Schizosaccharomyces pombe: one gene and its partners. Changing the gene in region 4 together with the main gene of any one other region gives a genetic interaction. Each region holds a gene or a part of one and is shown on either strand. Other genes may lie near its edges. The genes, in order: tsp0, meu10, alg12 and rhp1602.

What was found.
Region 1: mutations in rhp1602 (region 4) and tsp0 together harm fitness less than expected from each alone (positive genetic interaction), as found in Schizosaccharomyces pombe (one large-scale study listed by BioGRID).
Region 2: mutations in rhp1602 (region 4) and meu10 together harm fitness less than expected from each alone (positive genetic interaction), as found in Schizosaccharomyces pombe (one large-scale study listed by BioGRID).
Region 3: mutations in rhp1602 (region 4) and alg12 together harm fitness more than expected from each alone (negative genetic interaction), as found in Schizosaccharomyces pombe (one large-scale study listed by BioGRID).

The regions. Positions count from the first base shown.
Region 1 is NC_003423.3:1,222,591-1,226,767, reverse strand, and holds tsp0 (tspO-like protein), read right to left. Parts: upstream 2,217-4,177; 5' UTR 2,130-2,216; exon of another isoform or gene 2,066-2,129; 5' UTR 2,029-2,065; exon of another isoform or gene 1,869-2,028; intron 1,826-1,868; exon of another isoform or gene 1,816-1,825; 5' UTR 1,795-1,815; coding exon 1,327-1,794; exon of another isoform or gene 859-1,326; coding exon of another isoform or gene 800-858; coding exon 773-799; downstream 1-772. Other genes in the region: CCAAT-binding factor complex subunit Php2, read left to right, coding at 1-858; BAR adaptor protein Hob3, read left to right, coding at 3,572-3,619, 3,662-4,177.
Region 2 is NC_003421.2:1,866,416-1,871,968, reverse strand, and holds meu10 (GPI-anchored protein Meu10), read left to right. Parts: upstream 1-1,873; 5' UTR 1,874-2,238; coding exon 2,239-3,489; 3' UTR 3,490-4,189; exon of another isoform or gene 4,190-4,247; 3' UTR 4,248-5,053; downstream 5,054-5,553. Other genes in the region: DNA-binding transcription factor, CBF1/Su(H)/LAG-1 family Cbf12, read right to left, coding at 1-219.
Region 3 is NC_003423.3:1,082,761-1,087,168, forward strand, and holds alg12 (dolichyl-P-Man:Man(7)GlcNAc(2)-PP-dolichyl-alpha-1,6-mannosyltransferase), read right to left. Parts: upstream 2,595-4,408; 5' UTR 2,559-2,594; coding exon 2,400-2,558; exon of another isoform or gene 2,352-2,399; coding exon 1,367-2,351; intron 1,322-1,366; coding exon 825-1,321; 3' UTR 556-824; downstream 1-555. Other genes in the region: DNAJ domain-containing protein Mas5, read left to right, coding at 1-182; F1-ATPase gamma subunit atp3, read left to right, coding at 3,176-3,255, 3,335-4,160. UniProt on the Schizosaccharomyces pombe protein: Mannosyltransferase that operates in the biosynthetic pathway of dolichol-linked oligosaccharides, the glycan precursors employed in protein asparagine (N)-glycosylation.
Region 4 is NC_003423.3:435,590-440,863, forward strand, and holds rhp1602 (DNA translocase Rhp16b), read right to left. Parts: upstream 3,220-5,274; 5' UTR 3,189-3,219; coding exon 2,400-3,188; exon of another isoform or gene 2,348-2,399; coding exon 644-2,347; 3' UTR 501-643; downstream 1-500. Other genes in the region: peroxin pex11, read left to right, coding at 1-172, 222-384; nucleoporin Nup107, read right to left, coding at 3,685-5,274.

The DNA of each region.
Region 1 (4,177 bases), 790 kb from region 4:
CATAAGCATGCTATGCGACGACCTCGTGGTCCTGGTGGCCGATTCTTGACTGCTGACAAAGTATCAAAATTGAGAGCGCAGGAAGCTGCAGAGGCAGCTGCTAATGGAGGAAGTACAGGAGACGATGTTAATGCCACAAATGCCAATGATGCCACCGTGCCTGCAACCGTTTCTTCTGAAGTGACTCACACGTCTGAAGGATATGCGGATAGCAATGATTCAAGACCTAGCTCTATCTCCAACTCGTCTGAGTCTCCAGCTCCTATCAATTCTGCCACAGCATCTATGTCTCCTGCTAACAATACTTCTGGAAACAACATTACTTCTCCAAATGTCAGAGGCGAGCTAGACATGAGTGGTAATATTGCCATGTCGGGTGGGCCCACTAATACCGCTTCCACCTCGGGGCCAGTGCCTCATGATATGACAGTGCTCCCACAGACCGACTCAAACACATCGAATCTTATGTCCAGTGGTTCTCAACTAGGCAGTTTTGCTACAGCTTCTACCAATGGCAACAACTCTACTACTACTACTACTTCGTCAGCTGCTCATCCAGGGTCATTTCATAAAGGTACTAATGATTATTCATCTACACTAGCTGGAAATGAGCATAGTGCTTTTCCTGGTCTGGATGTGTATCACGATGATAGCGTGTCTGCAGGTGCAGCTTTTATACCACACAATCCAATGGATTCGATTGATCACCTTGATGTCAATGATCCTACAGCCACAGGTCTCCCTGTACTACCAGCGAGCGATATCGATCCTCTTAATTTAACAGGCAATACCCAAGATTCTATGATAATTGGTCAGCAAACATATCCCTCACACGGTTCTTCAGGAACCATGAAGTAGTCAACTAATTAAGGCTGAGAGAGATACAAAACAATCACAAGACTGTGTATAGGTTGTCGACCTACCGACAAAGTTCAATTTAGGACTGCAATGTTGTTGGTGATTTTTTGAGAAAGAAACAAGTCGAAATCACTCAGTCATGGCCTTTTTGCATATCATATTATACTCATTATTTTTTTAGTCACCGATTTATTATCCATCAATTTGTTTTGACTTTTTTCGTTCTGCCCAATTTTTTTTTTTTATTTAACTCATATCCCTCCTGCTGTCTTTTTCTTATTCCAATAATATTTTTTCTCCGACCTGATTCTTCTGTTATTGTTTTTTTAGTGTTTTTTTTTCTGTTTCTTTCAAACTTTGATCGTGCAGCTTAAGCTCTTTCTTAAATGCAACAATACATTCTACTGTCTCATGTCATGCTTTTGACTCTCTTGATCTACATCAACCTTAATTAGTGACATTACTTACCAAGTAGCCAGCGTATCCCAACCAGGCTAAATAAGGAATTAACCATTTGGAAGCCGTTGGTGCAAGAGGCCACCATGTCTTTGCAAGCCAACCAACAAGTCCCGTCAAAATGCCGAGATCGGCAAGAGCCAATTTTGGTTTTGCTAATCCGTAGAACAAGGGCATCCAAGCAAAGTTAGCGGCCAACTGTGCAATGTATAAAATGGATCCATTTCGAGAGGCATTCGTAATCATCAAAGGGTCAGCCTTGTACGCCAAATGGGATGCATATCCCATTGTTAGGTATAGTAGTGTCCATGCTGGTCCAAAGGCAGATGCAGGGGGGTGGAACTTTGGTTGCTTTTTGTTCTCATAATCCTTTCTTGGCTTGTAGGAATTCCCAATGAACCAGCCGCAGGCGACTGGAACGAGAGAAGCGGACCACCAATTTTTGGAGATGCTAGTGAATACTTGATAGTTCAAATCCATCACACTTAATAATATCGTTTACTGTTGATTAGCGAAATCGGGAAAAAAAAATTCCACGAATGTAAAGAGTACTAACAACGACTGCTACTAAAAAACCATAAGTATTTCGAATCTTAATGCAGCTCGTTTACAAACAGCAGAGATAATGTCGAGATACAAAAGGTCTTTCAAACCATGCTAAGCAAATAGACATGGAGTAGCTAGAGTTAAGTTTGATAATTAAAACTGACATACATTAAACTAGAAATTTGGAGAAGAGTTGTTGAAACTTCTAATTGAATTGAAGATTAGTAAAATTGGACCATAAAGCTTAACCATCTTTCAATCTTCCATACATTTTAAAAACGGGCACAGTATCGATATGAGAGAAATACGATACTAAACTAAAATAAAAGGAAATACTTAATTGTAGTTTGATCTTGGAAGCTACTCGAATGTATAATTCACCATATTTATAACCTCGTCTATTACGTCACAGAAGGGAAGGAGGAGCGAGGTATTGGGGTATAATACGTGTTCATACTGCGTAAGGTGGTGGTAGATGTGTCTCGCTAAAAAGTGTTTATAAGGAGTTTTCCATAAGATAATATTTTCAGTACAACTAAATTTTTTATATTATTAATATTATATTATAAAATTATGTATATCTATTAGTAGCAGCGCTTGTTTTCTGTAATAGAATATATTTGGGCTGGTCAAATGCGGTTAATTATCATCACACAGATGAGATTTATGGGCAAATTTAGTTATAAAATTAGATAAGACAACAAAGAGAGAAGAAAGGTTTATTTCGGTGCTTTTGTTTCTTACTTTCAGAAGAATCTTTCTCTTGGGCATTATCTGGATGTCTTACTGCCCACAGAACAAACAAACTGTCATTGAATGGCTGAGTTCTTGTTTCAATATCTAATATCGCTATACAATAGCTCTCAAAGTAATGCACCACTACTACAACTTAAGTTCTTCACTTTTTGAGTAAGGATGCAAACTATGAGACCGGGTTTTTTTAGCTCAAATGTCGCTGAAAAGCGTTTTCTTTATAGTTTTATCATGAATGATCTCATATATTGATAAGTAGCAATCGTGTCTTTCCATGTCGAAGCCTCAAAACATTATATCCATATAATGCAAAACCATTTATTCCACCACTTCTAATGAAATTTATAAGTTGGTAAAATGTCCGTATTTCAAATTGCTTCTCCACAATATCTTCCATTTATGAGCAAACGATATTACCTCTATATTGTCAAGTTAAAATGTTTACATTGATATATTATATTAAACTATAACATAACTATATTACCTTATAAGGCGATTTCTGCTGGATGCAGTTAGTGAACAAGAATTATCTGAGGATAGACCTCTAATTGCAGTCAGAGATTTACTACAGATGATTATACAAGAAAAATTTAGATATATTTTTTAAGCGATGTAATTTATTGATAGTGACATGAAAGTAAGCCAACCCTCGAAACCCAAATTTACCACCATTATGCTCTTGCTCTATCAATTAAACACAAAATTAACGACACGCTTTTCATCCTTATCTTTTTATAATTGCATTGTGAAATAAACTATCATTATTCTATTTAACGCAATGATAAACTTCGCAATCAGGCTTTACGTTATGGCTTTGCTTCCGTGAATTGTTCCCTACGCGAATCCTGCTGAATCCACTAAAAGATCCAATGCAGCTTAGCTAGCGAACATTAGCGCAGCGATCAACTGACATAAGATATCTGGGTATGCCGACGCTTCTCTTTTCCATATCACAAAAATGAGTTGGCATGGATTCAAAAAGGCCGTTAACCGAGCGGGTACCTCGGTATGTATTTGAGTGTTGAAGAATTGTCTAACATTGTGGTAGGTTATGATGAAGACGGGTCATGTTGAGCGAACGGTGGATCGGGAATTTGAAACAGAGGAAAGACGTTATAGAACTATGGAATCAGCTGCAAAGAAGCTTCAAAAAGAAGCCAAAGGTTATCTCGATGCTTTGAGAGCCATGACTGCGTCTCAAACTAGAATCGCTAACACAATCGATGCATTTTACGGTGATGCTGGATCGAAGGATGGTGTCAGTGCATACTATCGACAAGTCGTCGAAGACTTGGACGCCGATACCGTAAAAGAGTTGGACGGTCCTTTCCGGACAACGGTGTTGGATCCCATCTCAAGGTTCTGCAGTTACTTTCCCGATATTAATGCCGCTATCACGAAGCGTAATCACAAATTACTTGATCATGATGCTATGAGGGCTAAGGTTCAAAAACTGGTCGACAAGCCTTCCAACGACACTACTAAGCTTCCCCGTACCGAGAAAGAAGCAGCCATGGCGAAGGAGGTCTACGAGACACTCAATAATCAACTGGTCAGTGAGCTT
Region 2 (5,553 bases), on a different chromosome or scaffold from region 4:
CTTGGAGCTACTGATGGCGGGTGAAACCGAGTCTCCATAGATGCGAACGGGTTCCTGTAAAGAGGTGGATTTGGCGAGTGAATACAATTGTGGAGACTCTAAATTAGCATTGATGGATCCTATTGCTGTAGCGACTCTTCTTATGTTCCTAGTTGAATCATAAAACTCCTGTGTTTTAATATCTTCGGAAGAAGGACGTTTCTGAACGTTTGGGGACATAGAATTTGACGAAGGTGAAAAGGATGCAATCTATTATATCCGTTTGGAAATTTTAAAACTTTTAAAACAAGCCTTTCACCTCTACAGCTGAATTTAAGAGATCCGTGGACGTTAAGTTTAAAAGTTCATGTACGCGCAATGTCTGGTATTTGATGAGCTGAGATCACTTAACTTTCCCTCAACATTAATTGCAACGAACAGGATGACCTATCAAGGGTAAAAAGTAAACTATTTAGCTAGCGTAAAGGTTGTTACAAAAGTGTTGTGTTTTCGTACAAAGTCAGGAACCAAATTTCTTAAGTCAATTCATTAATTTTTGTAGCAGTCCTAATCTTCCTTTTTTTTCTTTTTATTATTTACATGATTCCCTAATTCGGAGAAGTAAAATGTTAATCCGGTATTACTTGGATATACAGCCTTACGACGTTACCGAAAAATCGTTAAACAACATGTACTTTGGTTTTTCCGATTTTGCCTATAGCACGAATTGAGTGTGATATTAACGGGAATACCACTGAAAATAGAACGGCCAACAACTGTGACTTCGCAAAATTTTAACTGTTGGATGTCCAAATGGTGCAGAATGTTTTCATACCAACCACGCACGTCCACTTAGTATTCCCAGGATGGTAAATTGAAAAAATAAAATGCACGATAGGATAGGTAAGCCTCTTAGCAAGACCGAAGATTTGGCTTCCGTTGGTGACATTCGAGACTCACTTTGAATATTAAGCAGATGAAGTTTTGCCGCTTCTTAAATTCCTGATAGCAATTACGTACAAATTTTTTTGCTTGTCGGCGCCTTTTTAGGTCCGTTGTCGGTTGACACCTCAACGATGCCAATTCTCGACTTTTGAGCTTGCGAAGGAGATAAAAATGTTTTAAATGAAAAGGTTAAAAAAAAGGTTTAAGATTTTAAAAAATTTAAAGCAAGCAGTTTTCGGGAATCAAAATAATGTATGATGAGGATTTGCAGCGAATCCTAGATCCAACGGATGAGTCCTATTGATTAGTCAGTTATAATAATCCAAAGTAAGTTTTTCCAGTTATGTTCAACTTGTGCAGTTTTACGTTGACATAGCAAATGTTGGTAATCAACGAAGTAAACACTCTCAACATTCAACCAGTCAAGTTGAGCATTGTAAAATAGAGACAATCCGTGGGTCACTTATGATCAACTTTCCTCCGCAACGGACGCTATACCCCTCAATGGGATAATGTTACCTCGTGTAGAGAAAAACAATGAAAAAGTCGATCGCATGACGTTGCTGACATTGTTTACTAACATTGCAAAGTAAATAAATAAGTAAACAATTATACCAAGTAGGTTTGTTTACATTATGAAAAAAAAAAATTTTAAAGAGTTGCGTTGATTACTTTCTTGGTATTTACTCTCGTTATTTTTCGCTGTTCATTTGTGTTTGTTATTGTTGAAAGTTGTTGTTGATGGTAGGTGTGGTGCAGGCTCAAGGCCGTATTTATAAATGAATTAACGAATGTGTGAACCGCATATAGTCCATTAACATACATTCAACTTATTACTTAAGATGTTTTTAGTAATTGGGGTGTATAAACCTGAGTAACTTTTACCATATTAAGATGAGTTGGGCGGTTTCGAAATCTATAAAAGGGCATGCCAGTGAGTAAACTACCTGGAAATAACCGCTACATTTTTATTCCTTTTAACAAAAATCGTATAAATAATCCATTACGAAGAAAGACTTCGCTCTGTCCTCTTTTCTTACCCAGCATATATATACATAAACTTTTGTTATATTAGCATTCGTTTAAGGCACTTTTTCTTGTCCAAACTTTAATCAACAAGGAAATCATAAACAATTAAAGGTTCATCATTTCCAAACCCTACAAAGACCCGAATTCATTCTTCAGTATTCATAATTTCATTTCCAATCCCTTCCTGCTACGACAAAAATTTTGGTCGTACTTGATAGATTTTATTGCTTTTATTATCCCTAACAACTTTTCCCTCCTTTATATTCATTCTTCATTTATCATAAAATGCGCTTGTCTTCACGCTTTTATTTGTTTACCAGTTTCACTGCGTGGAGCGTAGTGATCGCTGGTGCAACCCCAGCGGTTTGTGGTGCCCCCGAGTACATTATTGAGACACAGAATGACTTGGACGTTTTAAGCAACTGTCAGGTTGTGAATGGCTCTATCATCATGAACACTAGCTCAGCTACTTCTTTGAATTTCAATAGAATAGAGACCATTACCGGTGATCTCATCATTCGTAATAACAACTACCTTGCATCGGTAGCCCTGACATCCATTTCCAGTGTGGGTGGAGAATTACGGTTTGAAAAACTCACACGACTCGCTAGTGTTTACGCACCTCAACTGGCAAATGTTGGCCAATTAACGATGCGTATCTTGCCAAATCTTCAAGGGATTCGATTCGATAAGGGGATCAAAAAGGCCCATAAGCTCACCATCGAGGATACCCAACTCTCCACACTTGCAGGTATTTCTTTGAATACTACGGATACGATGGTAATTGTTAACAACAATTATTTGCGAGAAGTTGATATGCCCTATTTGGAAAGTGTGGAGTCGAAGTTTTACGTCTCTTACAATGCCAGGGAGATCAGTGTTACCCTTCCTAGACTTAAAACCGTGGGTGACATGACGATTCAACGCGTAGCTCACTTACAACTTTCGAATTTAGAAGAGGTCAAAGGATTTTTAGGCTTCCTCAACAGCACGTTGCAGGATATATCATGCCCAAACATTACACGAATTGGACAGTCTCTTTTCTTTATAGGCAATCAGGAATTGACTTCGCTAAATTTCAAGCAACTTGAGAGCATTGGAGGTACTTTTATGATTGCCAACAGTGCAGCATTGGCACAAATCAAAGGATATGATAAATTGAAGACCGTAGCAGGATCCATCGACTTTACCGGTAACTTTAGCAGCGTTGAACTTCCCAAGTTACGAGATGTTAAAGGAGGTTTGAACATACAAACTACATCGAGCGACTTTACTTGTCCCTTCCGCCAGAGCGACGGGATCATCAAGGGCAAATCGTTTGTTTGCCGAGGATCGGTTGACAATCCCAGACAAAGCAAGGAGTCTTCTTTCGATGATGACGATTTTGATGAACTGTTAGGAAATGGAACAATTAAAGGCTCTAAGAACAGTACATCACCGGTCAAACAAAGTGGTGCCGCTAAGGTAGATAGCCGACCTTTCCGTCTTGTTACCTTTTTCCTTGTCTTAGTAAGTGGCTTTGCGCACTTGCTTTAAAGCCAAGAGAGACAAAGTTGACAATGTAAACGCAAGTTCATTTGCAAGATCGAAATCTACCCTTCAAAGCCATGCCGTCTATGATTAACCTGTTTCTATTTAAAAAGTAAATAAATGCTTTCAAAATAATTAGAAGGAAGATTTTCAACCAACAAGGATTACAAAAAAAAACGGCGATAAGTTTCGTTGCTTCATTTTGGATCACTTTACTATTTGCTGTTCCTTAATGGACACAGTGAAATGACGAGAAACCGGTTTTCAGTTGTTTTGTTGTGAGTATGGATAGTGAACACTTTTTCTTACCAATGGTTGGCTTTTCCTCGGTTTATTTATTTATTTTTTAGTACGGTTAGGAGAATGAAAAAAAAAAAGTATTTTTAGTGACTCCAGGTTCTATTGGCTTCTTATTTTTAAAACAAAAATATTCATCATTATTCTTACTATCACAAAACTACCAGTTATTATGTTTGTCTATCGATAACAGCACGCTACTTTTCTAGATGAATCATTTGTTTGTCTTGTTGTAGAGTAAAAGGCAATTTTTTACTAACAGTTAAACCCGCGCGTAGATGGTACTAATTTTATGCCATGAAACATATGATTTAAGTGGGATAAAAACGGAAGTACGAGAGCTGAACAATTTATCTGACAGGCATCCAAATGAATTAATATATAAACCAAGGAATGTGAAATTACATGAGTGAGTCAAGCATGCCTTTCGTCGTTTGTTTAGTCAACTAACAATTAGTGGTATTCAGAATGCAAAAAATATTTTTCTTTGTGTTGCCTCGGGTGTTTCAAGCCTTATCCATCCGAGGCACTCGTGCCTGTAAAAAATTGCAATCGGATAGAAGGAAGGTAAGGAAAGTGGATGAAATTTTTACGCGAATGCGGAGGAAGGCAAAATTTCTTGAAACAAAGTTGGTCGAACCTTGTTAAGTAGTAGAGAGTGTATATGAAGTATGGAAAAGAAAGAGAGAAAGGATGACTTCTCAACGAAAGATGAATTTGGCAATCACAAATGTTTCATATTTGGTTGTCAAGTTTAAACGACTTGCAACCGAGCCGATCACTGAAACAATTTCCAATGATCATAACTAAACGATCCTACTACTTACTGATTTGACGTAATTTGTCCTTTTGTTAATTTTTGGACGGTTTGGATCAAACATTTGAAGTTGCAAATATGATAAACTTACTGCTTGATTAAAAAAAAATAAATAAAATAAAAAAATTAATGATAGAACAACAATGATAAGAGAGCATCATTCATTATGAATGAGAATGTGTTTCATTGAAGCAATAGTTTTTGTGAACATACAAGGAGTGTTGTGATGAAAGAAAATGCAATTTGCCTTTCCAGTTTCTGATACTTCGTAAAGATGATGCTTTTTGGCTTTTGCTTTGTTTAAGGGTAACAAACTTGTGAATTGCCCAAAGCAGAGATGAATAATTTGAAATGAGTTTGCTACGAATTATCTGTATTTATGAATTAATGAAGGATGGATCTAAACCATTTAACAGGTGTAAATAAAAGCTTCATAGATTCTGTATAGTGATTAACAGTTTTTTGGAAAAATAATTTAAAAAAAAATTAATAATAATAATAATAATTTGGAAAAATAATGTTAGAATAACATACCAAAAATACCAGTATATTCAGACAATATGTTTTAAAACTTAAAAATGATTGTAGAGCAATGATTTTAATTATAGCTACGATTAGAAATGTTAAATGTTATTATAGTGTTAGTTTTGCGTTCGATTTAATTTTTGGTACACACGGGATATAACAGTTTGATTAAGCATTACCAATAGAGCAATGCAAGTTAAGAGGTTGTTTAAGCATGTTGTTGTCTAAGAGACTCACAAAAAGGTAGGTAAATGGATTTATTGCTAAACGGAAAATATTGATTTGAAAATTAAATTTTGGTCGTACATACTTTATTCGTAACAGATTTCATCAAAATTTTCACCTACAAAACATTGGAACTCAAAGTGTGACTGAATTCACAATAAGTAAATAATTACACTTCATAGCATACGATCCATTATTTTTTTATA
Region 3 (4,408 bases), 650 kb from region 4:
CTCCCCGTAAGATTGAGAGCGCTCCCAAAAATGCTCACACTGAGGAATGTGTTTTGGCAACTGTCGATCCTACTGAGAAGGTTCGCATTGACAATAACGTGGACCCCACTACTGCCACTTCGATGGATGAAGATGAAGATGAAGAAGGTGGACACCCCGGTGTTCAATGTGCTCAACAGTAAACCTGTCTTATTCTGAATTTCTTTTCATTCATTTTTTCAAAATTGACAGCATTTGGATTCGTTATCCTTTTAAGAAGAGCCTAGACAATTATTTGTTTTCAGATGTTCCTAATCTTTTCCTTAGGTTTCGAGTTGCTATTGCATGTATACCTTATTCTCTTGTTCCTTTTTTTCATCCTGTAAACTCATTCCCCTCATTTGGTGTTAGTTTTCTTTTATCTCATAAAGATGTTTGATATCTAGCTTCGGCATATCTAACATACTTGCCTTTGATAGTTATTCTCTCGGTTCTTATCTTGGTCTTTATACTTCGTTAATACGCTGCTTCAATAAATATAATGACTGCAAAAAGTCGATTTATAAATATGAATACATAAATTAGATCTTGCTTGCTTTGTTTGTAAAATTTTAGTATTTGTGAGACAATTACAATTACGGCTTTTGGAAAAAGTAGTAAATAATTTTTGATGCGCTTCTGCACTTTGAATTGTCTGCGAACTAAAATTATGTTTATTCACTCTACTTATCGTTGCAATACAATTCAAGTGGGGGATGCTACTAAATTGTAACTGTAAATACAAAATCGTAAAACTTGAAGAATATACCTTGAAAAAATTTTACTCTCGTTTTCTTACTAAACTATCATCCCTGGGTGATATGCGTTAGAATCCGATCTTTGTCAATAAAAAAGTTCAGACGGTCTTCCCGGTAATCTCTTGTCAACAATGTGTCAGGAGATACCACCCTATAAATAGGAGGCCAAAGTTTAATCTCGTCAACTTTATGTCCGATGAATGAAGAGTAGTCATCAACTGCGGCAGGTTTAGTTGCTCGTGCTTTTTTGTTTGCCAAGATGTAAACGGGCTGTGCTGGATTTCTTATGGAGATTTCTCGCGGTATGTGATTACTTAACCATTTTGGAAGGATGGGAATTTTCGTGTTGGAATTAACGGATTCTATAACATCAAAAGTATCATTATATGATTCGGGATCTTCGGTGATTAAATAGTCGAATTGGGAAATAAATAAAGAATTTGAAAGCATTTTAGGATCCTCAGTTTTGTCATAGTACCACGATGGAAGCTGTGAAAATCGAGTTATACCTGTCATACACGGATATACATCCATGTGTACAGAAACTAAGTACGTTAGAATAATCTAATTGGTGAAAAAGTTGAACTTACCTTGGGGATGATTTTCAATTTCATATAAACGAGTTAATGCTAGACCACCAGGGTAAGCGTATTGAAAAACATATAACAAAAAACTGCTTCCAATAAACCCGAAGATTATCCCCGAAAAAAACATTAACCTTAGAATTTCAAATATTTTCTTGCCAAATTTACTGGCATTAAAGCATAAGGAAGCCCCAATTGCACTAGCTGCGTTAAACCAAGGGATCGAATAGATAATAAAGCGCCATTCTTTATGGCCTAAAAATGAATAAACAAATATAAAGAAAAGGGGAACATATATTAAAAGACGAGCAGGCTTGATGTAAACAAAGCTGATTAAAAGGAAGAGCAATGTCGTGGGATTGAGAAATAGCCAAGGAAGTCTCACAAAGTAGTAGTAAAAAGGGCTTGTTCCCCAATCTGAAGATTTCCCTTCAACAACATTGAATAAGAAAGCTTCTAATTCAGGCCAACACCAAGCCCCCCAGAAATAGGAATCAATGAGAAAAGAAGCTCCCACTGCTGCTAATGAAGAAGAAATACCAACGAGTAGCAATTTTGATAAAGTAATCCTCCTCTGAAGCAATAATGGTAGAATCAAACACATTAGAAGTAAAGCTATTTCGGACCTAACAATCGCTGCGGCAAAAACTAAAATACTGATAGAGCCGTAATAATTATTTTTAAGTAACAAAGAAAGAGAGTGGTTCGTAGCTATTAGTCCGAAAATATTTGACAATGGTCTGGACATATAGTACACGAGGTGAAATTGAGCGCAGCTAAACAGTATAAACAGTGCTCCAGACAATGTGCCGAATCGTTTGCTAATGGAGCAGCTTACAGAATTCATACTCTCCCAACTTAAATACCCAATTGTCCATCTAGCGGCAAGTAATGGATTAACAAACCAAGAAGGTATATAGGACAAAACTGCTATAAACAAACTCGGTATGAAACTCCGTTTAACGGCTCCTGGAAACTCCAGATGATCATACTAAAATATGTGAGTAATTTAAATAAGGAAATAATTATCAACTACTACCTTTGACAAATCCCAACGATACGTCTGAATGTCATGAATCGCTTGCATAGCAAACGACTCTTCTACCTTTGTAAACGGAGTTTTGTACGAATAATACCCTATGCATGTCACAAGCAAAATATTTGCCAAATACCAACAAATGCTCTCTTTAGAAGTCATCCCGCTTCATCATTTATTGAAAGCATACAAATAGTTATTGGAGAAAGAGCAAAGGTGAATGAATATACGTAAATAAAGCAACGATTAATTTTGCTAAATCTAGTTTAAGGAGATTCAAGGTAATGATTTATTTGTTATAAACAAGGGTTGTTCGCTGCACTGTCTTCTAACTTTGCATCTTTGTGTACGTTAAGTATCTGCTTCTCCTCTTTTAATCGAACATTTTATATGTTAAATTTTAATTACCTCTACTATTTGCAAAACGAAATTCACATCTTTCATCAAAATTTAATTATTCCTTCTGTTTAGGGAAACTTTGAAAGAATACAACGATCCTCGTTAACTGATTTACCATGGTAGTTTAACGTATAGCGTTTTGGAGGAATATTCATTATAGAAAACGTGCTATTATAATTAAGGTGAGAGATATAATTGCATTTCATTTATTATTTAAACTAATTTTTCTTCTTATCGTTCCTGAAAATCGTTGCTAGTACGGTCTATAGAACGATAGATTCGTCGGTTCCAATAGCATGCTTTACCACGGGTATACACCAAACCTCCCCCCATATCATTACGAAACAGGAATCAATAAAAGCTAACGTCAATTGAACATTATGCTTCGTCAAACGCTAACTCAGGCGTCTCGGATGCGTCCTTGTATATCTGTAGTTGGATTTCGGGGTTTTCACGCTAGGTATGTTGTTTAGGTTTACTTTTTGTGATTCACAAACATATTCGAAGTTGAATGCATTTTTTCTAACGATTTTTTATAGTTCTCCTTGTGAGGCAACGCTAAAAGAGATTGAACAAAGGCTGAAGTCTATTAAGAACATTGAAAAGATTACCAAGACCATCAAAACTGTAGCTCAAACTAAGCTTACTAGGGCTCAACGTGCTATGGAAGCTTCTAACAAATACTATCGTGTATCTGATGAAGTGTTTAAGGAGGCTGGAACTAAAGCACCTGAGGAGGGTAAAACTCTTATGGTTGCTTGCTCTAGTGACAAGGGTCTTTGTGGTGGTATTCATTCTTCAATCTCTCGTCTTATCCGTAGAGAACTACATGATCCTAAGACATTTGAGAACACAAGTTTGTGTATTTTGGGAGAAAAAGTTCGCACTCAATTACTTCGTTTCTGTCCCGAATCTTTCTACTTGACTTTTGCACACATTGGTGGAGCTAGTCCTTCTTTTGAAGAAGCTTTACAAATTTCTAGTAACATTTTGGAACATGCTAAAGACTATGATAGAATTGTTCTCGTCTATAACAAGTTTGCTTCCGCTGTCTCGTTTGAAACTGTGATGAAGAACTTGTATACAACTAAGGCCATCAATGAATCCCCCAATCTCTCTGCATACGAGGTAAGTGATGAAGTCCATCAACCACTCATGGAATTTGCATTTGCCAATGCTATTTTTTCTGCCATGGCGGAAGCTCATTGCAGTGAAATGTCATCTCGTCGTAACGCCATGGAAAATGCAAGCAAGAGTGCTGGAGATATGATTAACAAGTTTTCCATCCAATATAATCGTCAACGTCAAGCCTCCATTACTAACGAACTTATCGATATCGTTACTGGTGCAAACTCTTTGGCTTAATTCTTGATCTCTTTGGTAAGGTTCAAATGCATGTTAAGATTTTTAAATTAAAGAAGTTTGTGAAATATAAGCGCTGAAGTCAACGATATTTCTTGTCTATTTAGCTTAACTTTTTACCTTTATACCATTTGAACCGTAATTCATTGAAAACGTTCAGATTAAGCTTACCTTTTGTTCTTAATAAATTTACGTCCATCTTTTTATCGTAAGTATTTTTCATGTAGAGAATGTTGAAGAGGTTTTTGTAA
Region 4 (5,274 bases):
CTTGCTCCCATTCAAAGCAGATTTCTACGATTGGAAAGCAATGTCTTGCTGTCGCTCTGCTTTCTTCCTGTTTAGCTGGATGCTATGAGCTACAGCAAAACTCGAAGAAGATCAAGAGTGCAACGCAAGAAGCATCTGAGAAAGATTCGACCAGTTTGCAGACTTTGCAAAAGTAAGTTTCTTTTTATGCATATTTTTCATATCTAACCACATTTGTGCAGAGAGCGTAAGGAAATTTTGTTCTTTGCTTTGCAAAACGCTTTGGACGCTACAATTCCTCTTGCCGAACTGGATATCCTTAAGGTTAATGACGGATTCGTGGCTGCTGCTGGTATTACCACGAGTCTTATGAGTGTCTATAAAACATGGATTGGTAGTTACTAAATTGCTTTCTTTTCAGATTACAATGTTTTACGAATGGTGTATCATTCGGCAAATATCTACCTTATATAGATTTACATCCAGGTGCATTCCTTCAGTATTTTACTTTTACTTAATCATTTGACTAAATGATATTTTCTAATATTTTTAATAACATATGTAATAGTAGATATTATTCATTAAACAGTCGTCTAAAGTCATACAACGATTCACGTACCAAAAATTTAGTTCAAAAGCTAGGTCCTTTATCACCTTCTGATTTTTAAGCCGCGGCACGCTTGTTAAATAGAAACAAAAGATCATTAAGTGTTAATTTTTTGGAGGTAAAAACCGACTTTTTGCCATCTCCGAGAGCCTGCTTGGCAAGGTCTCGTTTAAGATTCTGAAGTTCGACAATTTTTTCTTCAATTGTATTTTCAACCACTAGCTTATAAACAAGTACATCACGTCTTTGTCCAATACGATGTACTCTATCGATAGCTTGTTCTTCAATTGCAGGGTTCCACCAAACATCGCAAAGTATTACACGACTTGCACATGTTAAATTTAAACCAAGAGCACCGCACTTTAAAGAGCATAATAGTACTTGAGTTCCACTATCAGAGCGAAGGAGGTCCAAAGATTTTTCTCTAGCACGATTGTTCATGCGACCGTCATACCGAACAAAACCTATACCGGCTTTCCTCAAATGTAAGTCAATGATATCCAAAAAAGTGGTAAATTGAGAAAAAATTATTGTTTTTCGTAACCCCCGAACTGTATCATCCTCTTCTTGTTCATCTAGAGATAAAATTTTGAGGATTTCCCTAATTTTGGATGACTTGTATAGCGTCTTATCATTAGGGTCTTGAATTCCTTTATCCAATTCTTTAAAATTTCGAGAACAATCTTTGCATTTTTTTTCATGAAAATCGGGAGGAAGCTCGGCCATACAAATTGTACAAAAAGACTTTTTACGGCTTCCTATTTCAACTGTTTCTAATAGGTTTGCCAAATCATCAACATCTTGATCGGAAGCTAATTTGTTCGTGTTTGCTGCCCCATCCAACGCATTAAATGCATCAACGTCTTGTTCAAATTGAAAATTTAAAGACTGAGGATGATTGCAAGCCTGTCGTAGACGCAAGAGAAGACACAGTATGTTAGTATAGTTCTTGCCTAATTTCCCCGAATTAACAAAATTTGACATCGTTCGTTCCATGTTTCGTGCCAAGTTACTGTAAAAGTCACGTTCACTTTCTTCAAATTTACAAATAACCTTATACACCAAACGCTTTGAAAGTTTTAAAGCACCACCTGTACCATCTTTGCCCGCGTTTGCCTCTAACAAAGTCTTCGTTCGTCGTAACATGATTACACTCAGAAGCATTCGAAGTCTTTTAAAAACCAAGTTTTCCTCTCCTTGACATAAAGGTAAAGAAATTTGATCTTTCCAAACAGATTGGTCGTTAAATGGATTAATATGAAGAAATTTCACAAGTGAGTAAAGTTCATCTACATTGTTTTGTAAAGGTGTCCCAGTGAGACACCAGCGATTGATGCCCTGTAATGCGCAACAGGCAAGAGCTGATTTAGAAGATTTATTTTTTATAGTGTGTGCTTCATCCAGTATTATCCTCCACCAATAGAAGGCAAACAAGCTTGGCTTTTTCTTTTCATAACTTTTAGCTTCAGTAGGCGATTTGCCGTCTGTACCTGTAGTATTGTGAGACACCCATTCCGAAACTAGTATTTGATACGTGGTTATTACTACATCGTATTCGTGAATTACTTTAAGTAATTTATATCTGGATGCTCCATGATAAACGATTGCTGTCAACTTGCTTTTCGTCTGCACTTCTGATTCCCACTGTTTAATTAAACTGAGTGGAGCTACTACCAAAGTGGATTTGATTGAATGCTTCTTCTTTGGTAAGGGATGCGAAAGAATTAAAGCGATCATTTGAATAGTTTTTCCCAATCCCATCTAAAAAAATTATTAGCACTGAATAACAACAAATAATATTTTCATGACTTACATCATCTGCTAGAATTCCGCCGGAAGCCGAAGATTTAGACACCGTTTCTCTTGATTTGAGCCAAGTAAGTCCTTGGACTTGATGATCTAGTAGACGTATATGCATGCCAGGAATAAACGAGGACTGCCTCTGCATTGAATCGTCCTTAACATTGTCCAGCACATTATTCTCAAACAGTTTATGTAGCATTGCTTGAGTATTTTGGGAAGTTAAGATTTCTTCAGTGGGTATACCTATGGGGCCTTTTCTATTTTCAGAAGTTGGTTTATTGTGCTTACCAAAATATAGCGTTGAAGTAGAAGCTCTGGGAATTGGAATCACAATAGGCTTATCATTTATCAAGTCCGTTCTTTTCGAAGTTGCTTTATTTATTGAGACTTCAGGAACCTTGGTATATGGTTTCTTCCACGCACCAGATTTTACTGAGATAGGGGCAAATGGATCTTTCTCCCATTTCCTTATTCCCTCATCCTTACGTTCCAATTTTTTACTATAAAAAACCTGAGCTGGTTTACTAGTTATAGGCGCGGAGACGATTACTTCCTTTTCGTTTGTATCTATCTCCTGTCTCTTTAAGCTTTCAAAAGCATCAGAAAGAAAATGTTGGGTTTTCTTTTTATTCTTAGATTTTATAGATTGTTTTGGGATGGATTCATCTTCGCTTTTGGGCAACCTTGGTAATGAAGTAGATTCATTTTCTTTCCCTGCTGTATTTACACCGAAATTTTGTAAAAAAGAGTTATTCGCTTTTTTAACCCCACTTTCCTTATTTTTAGACGCTTTTTCCATCAAGCTCCCTCAAGCAAATTGCACTGAACGTGAACATTCAGTGGTAGTAGAAATAGCTTGTATACGATGGGTTCTTACTAAGTGAAGATTGGTGTCAAGAACTCAAATATTTCTATTTGCTTACTTTAATGTTTTTTTGAGTATAAAAGTAAACCCTACACAATATATCCACTAACACAGTTTTCGAGTCGAAATTTGTAAAGACTGCTCAAATCGACTATAGGATTTAAGAACTTGCGCAATGGTCCTAATTAACCGAACTTTCAAACAATTTTATAAGAATGTTTGCAACAAAGTGTCTGCAATTCTGGATTTAGTTCATAGTCTAACTTTTTGGAAAAAAAAATTTATATTAGAAATAGTCAAAAGTTATGGAAGTTTTTCAGCTTAGTTTTAAAATCAACGTATTAAGATAAACTGGTTATCAATGCGAAGATGATACCACATTTGCAGCATCACTATTAGTTTTCGAATTGAATCTCTTATACATTGACACTTATAAAGAAAAAAGCCCATTAGGGGTTGAAAGGCTACATTCTCCGGCCTTTCCTAAATAAGAAACATATTCAACCAGTCTGCCACTTTTAATAAGACAATGGTAAAGTTTTAAATCTTCACTGGCAACTTCGTTAGCCAGAGCAAAACAGCTATCATAGTCCTCAAGGCTAAAATAAACATTATGCAAACCGAGAATTAGTTCAGGCACATACAAATTCCGAATAGTCATAAGAGTTTTATAAAGCAAAGGATCATCATCTGGTTTCAGCTCCAATGTAGACGGGTGAAGCCAGTTAGCTTGAAGTAAGTCTGTGAAGGACTTTACACATTTACGAGAGGCAAAATTCAATTTTTTTTTCCAAACTTTATAAGAAGTGCTAGCTTTCGTAACTGCAGAATCTTCAAATACTTCTTGTTTAGAAAGCTCTTCCCATTCTTGATAAAATTTAAGTGCTCTGCAGAGAGCTCGATAGTTCATCAGTTCATACGCATCTCTAAACTTAGAATCGTTTTCGGGTTCACCATCGCTAGAGCTTAGCGTATTCAAAGCATCAGAGGGAATATGTGTATAAAGATCGTATGCACTATTTAGCTCGCCAATGCTTAAAAAGAAACGATATACAAGGTTTGCAAATCGGAGCAGCTCATCTGTCTGTGAAGTGATTAATAACCATTCAAGGGTGCAGATGAGCTTTTTATAAGATGGTTCAACTGGCTCCTCAATAGATTTTAAATATACTGTGTGAACTTCTTCGGGAGAAACAGAGACAACTTCATCATACACATATTCAACAGCTAGTAACGCCGCATGATTAATATCTAATGAATATTTTTTTGCTAATTGAAGTTGTTCTGATCTTGCACTTTCTTCATCAACAAGAATAAGGAATCGAGAATAAGCCTCGTACTGCACTTGATTTGATAGGTACTGAATATACAATGGAACCAAGTTAACTTTTTTAGCACTAGCCAATAACTCAATATACGCTTGGATAATAGAGTCAGAAGTATATTCATCCACAGCAAGACCTGAAATCTTCAAAAATAAAATTATGTGTGTCAGTATTCGAAGAAGAGGAGGTGTAACCAAATCCCCAGACTCAGGGGCATTTCCAGTCCGAATTGCTTCCAACTGTATGTGAGCAGAGCTCAAAATTTCCGAAATTTTATTACAAATGATATGAGTTTGAAGTTTAATTAGGGGATGTGATGCTTCTTCTTGGATTGAAGCAATAGAGCTGTTACTCAGCGAATTAAAAATCAATTCGGGAGTTAAGCCTAAACCACTATCCACTGGAGGCAATTGTGTTTCTGTTTGAGGAGCCTTAGAAGAAAGATAAACATCCAAATTGTACTGAGTCATACTATTATAATAAGCCCACATCGCATCCTCCCAAGTTGTGCACACATCAAGGACGGAGTTCAAGTCTCCACATAAAGCGCCATAAAGAGCGCGTTCATAAGAGTCTATCCGTTTATTTTTTGTAAGTGCTAAACATGATCTGCGCAAGAGTTCCTTTCTTTTATTACCGGAAGTCTCGGATTGCAAAACATCGTCGATGAGGTTATCTCTATACTCCAAAATTCC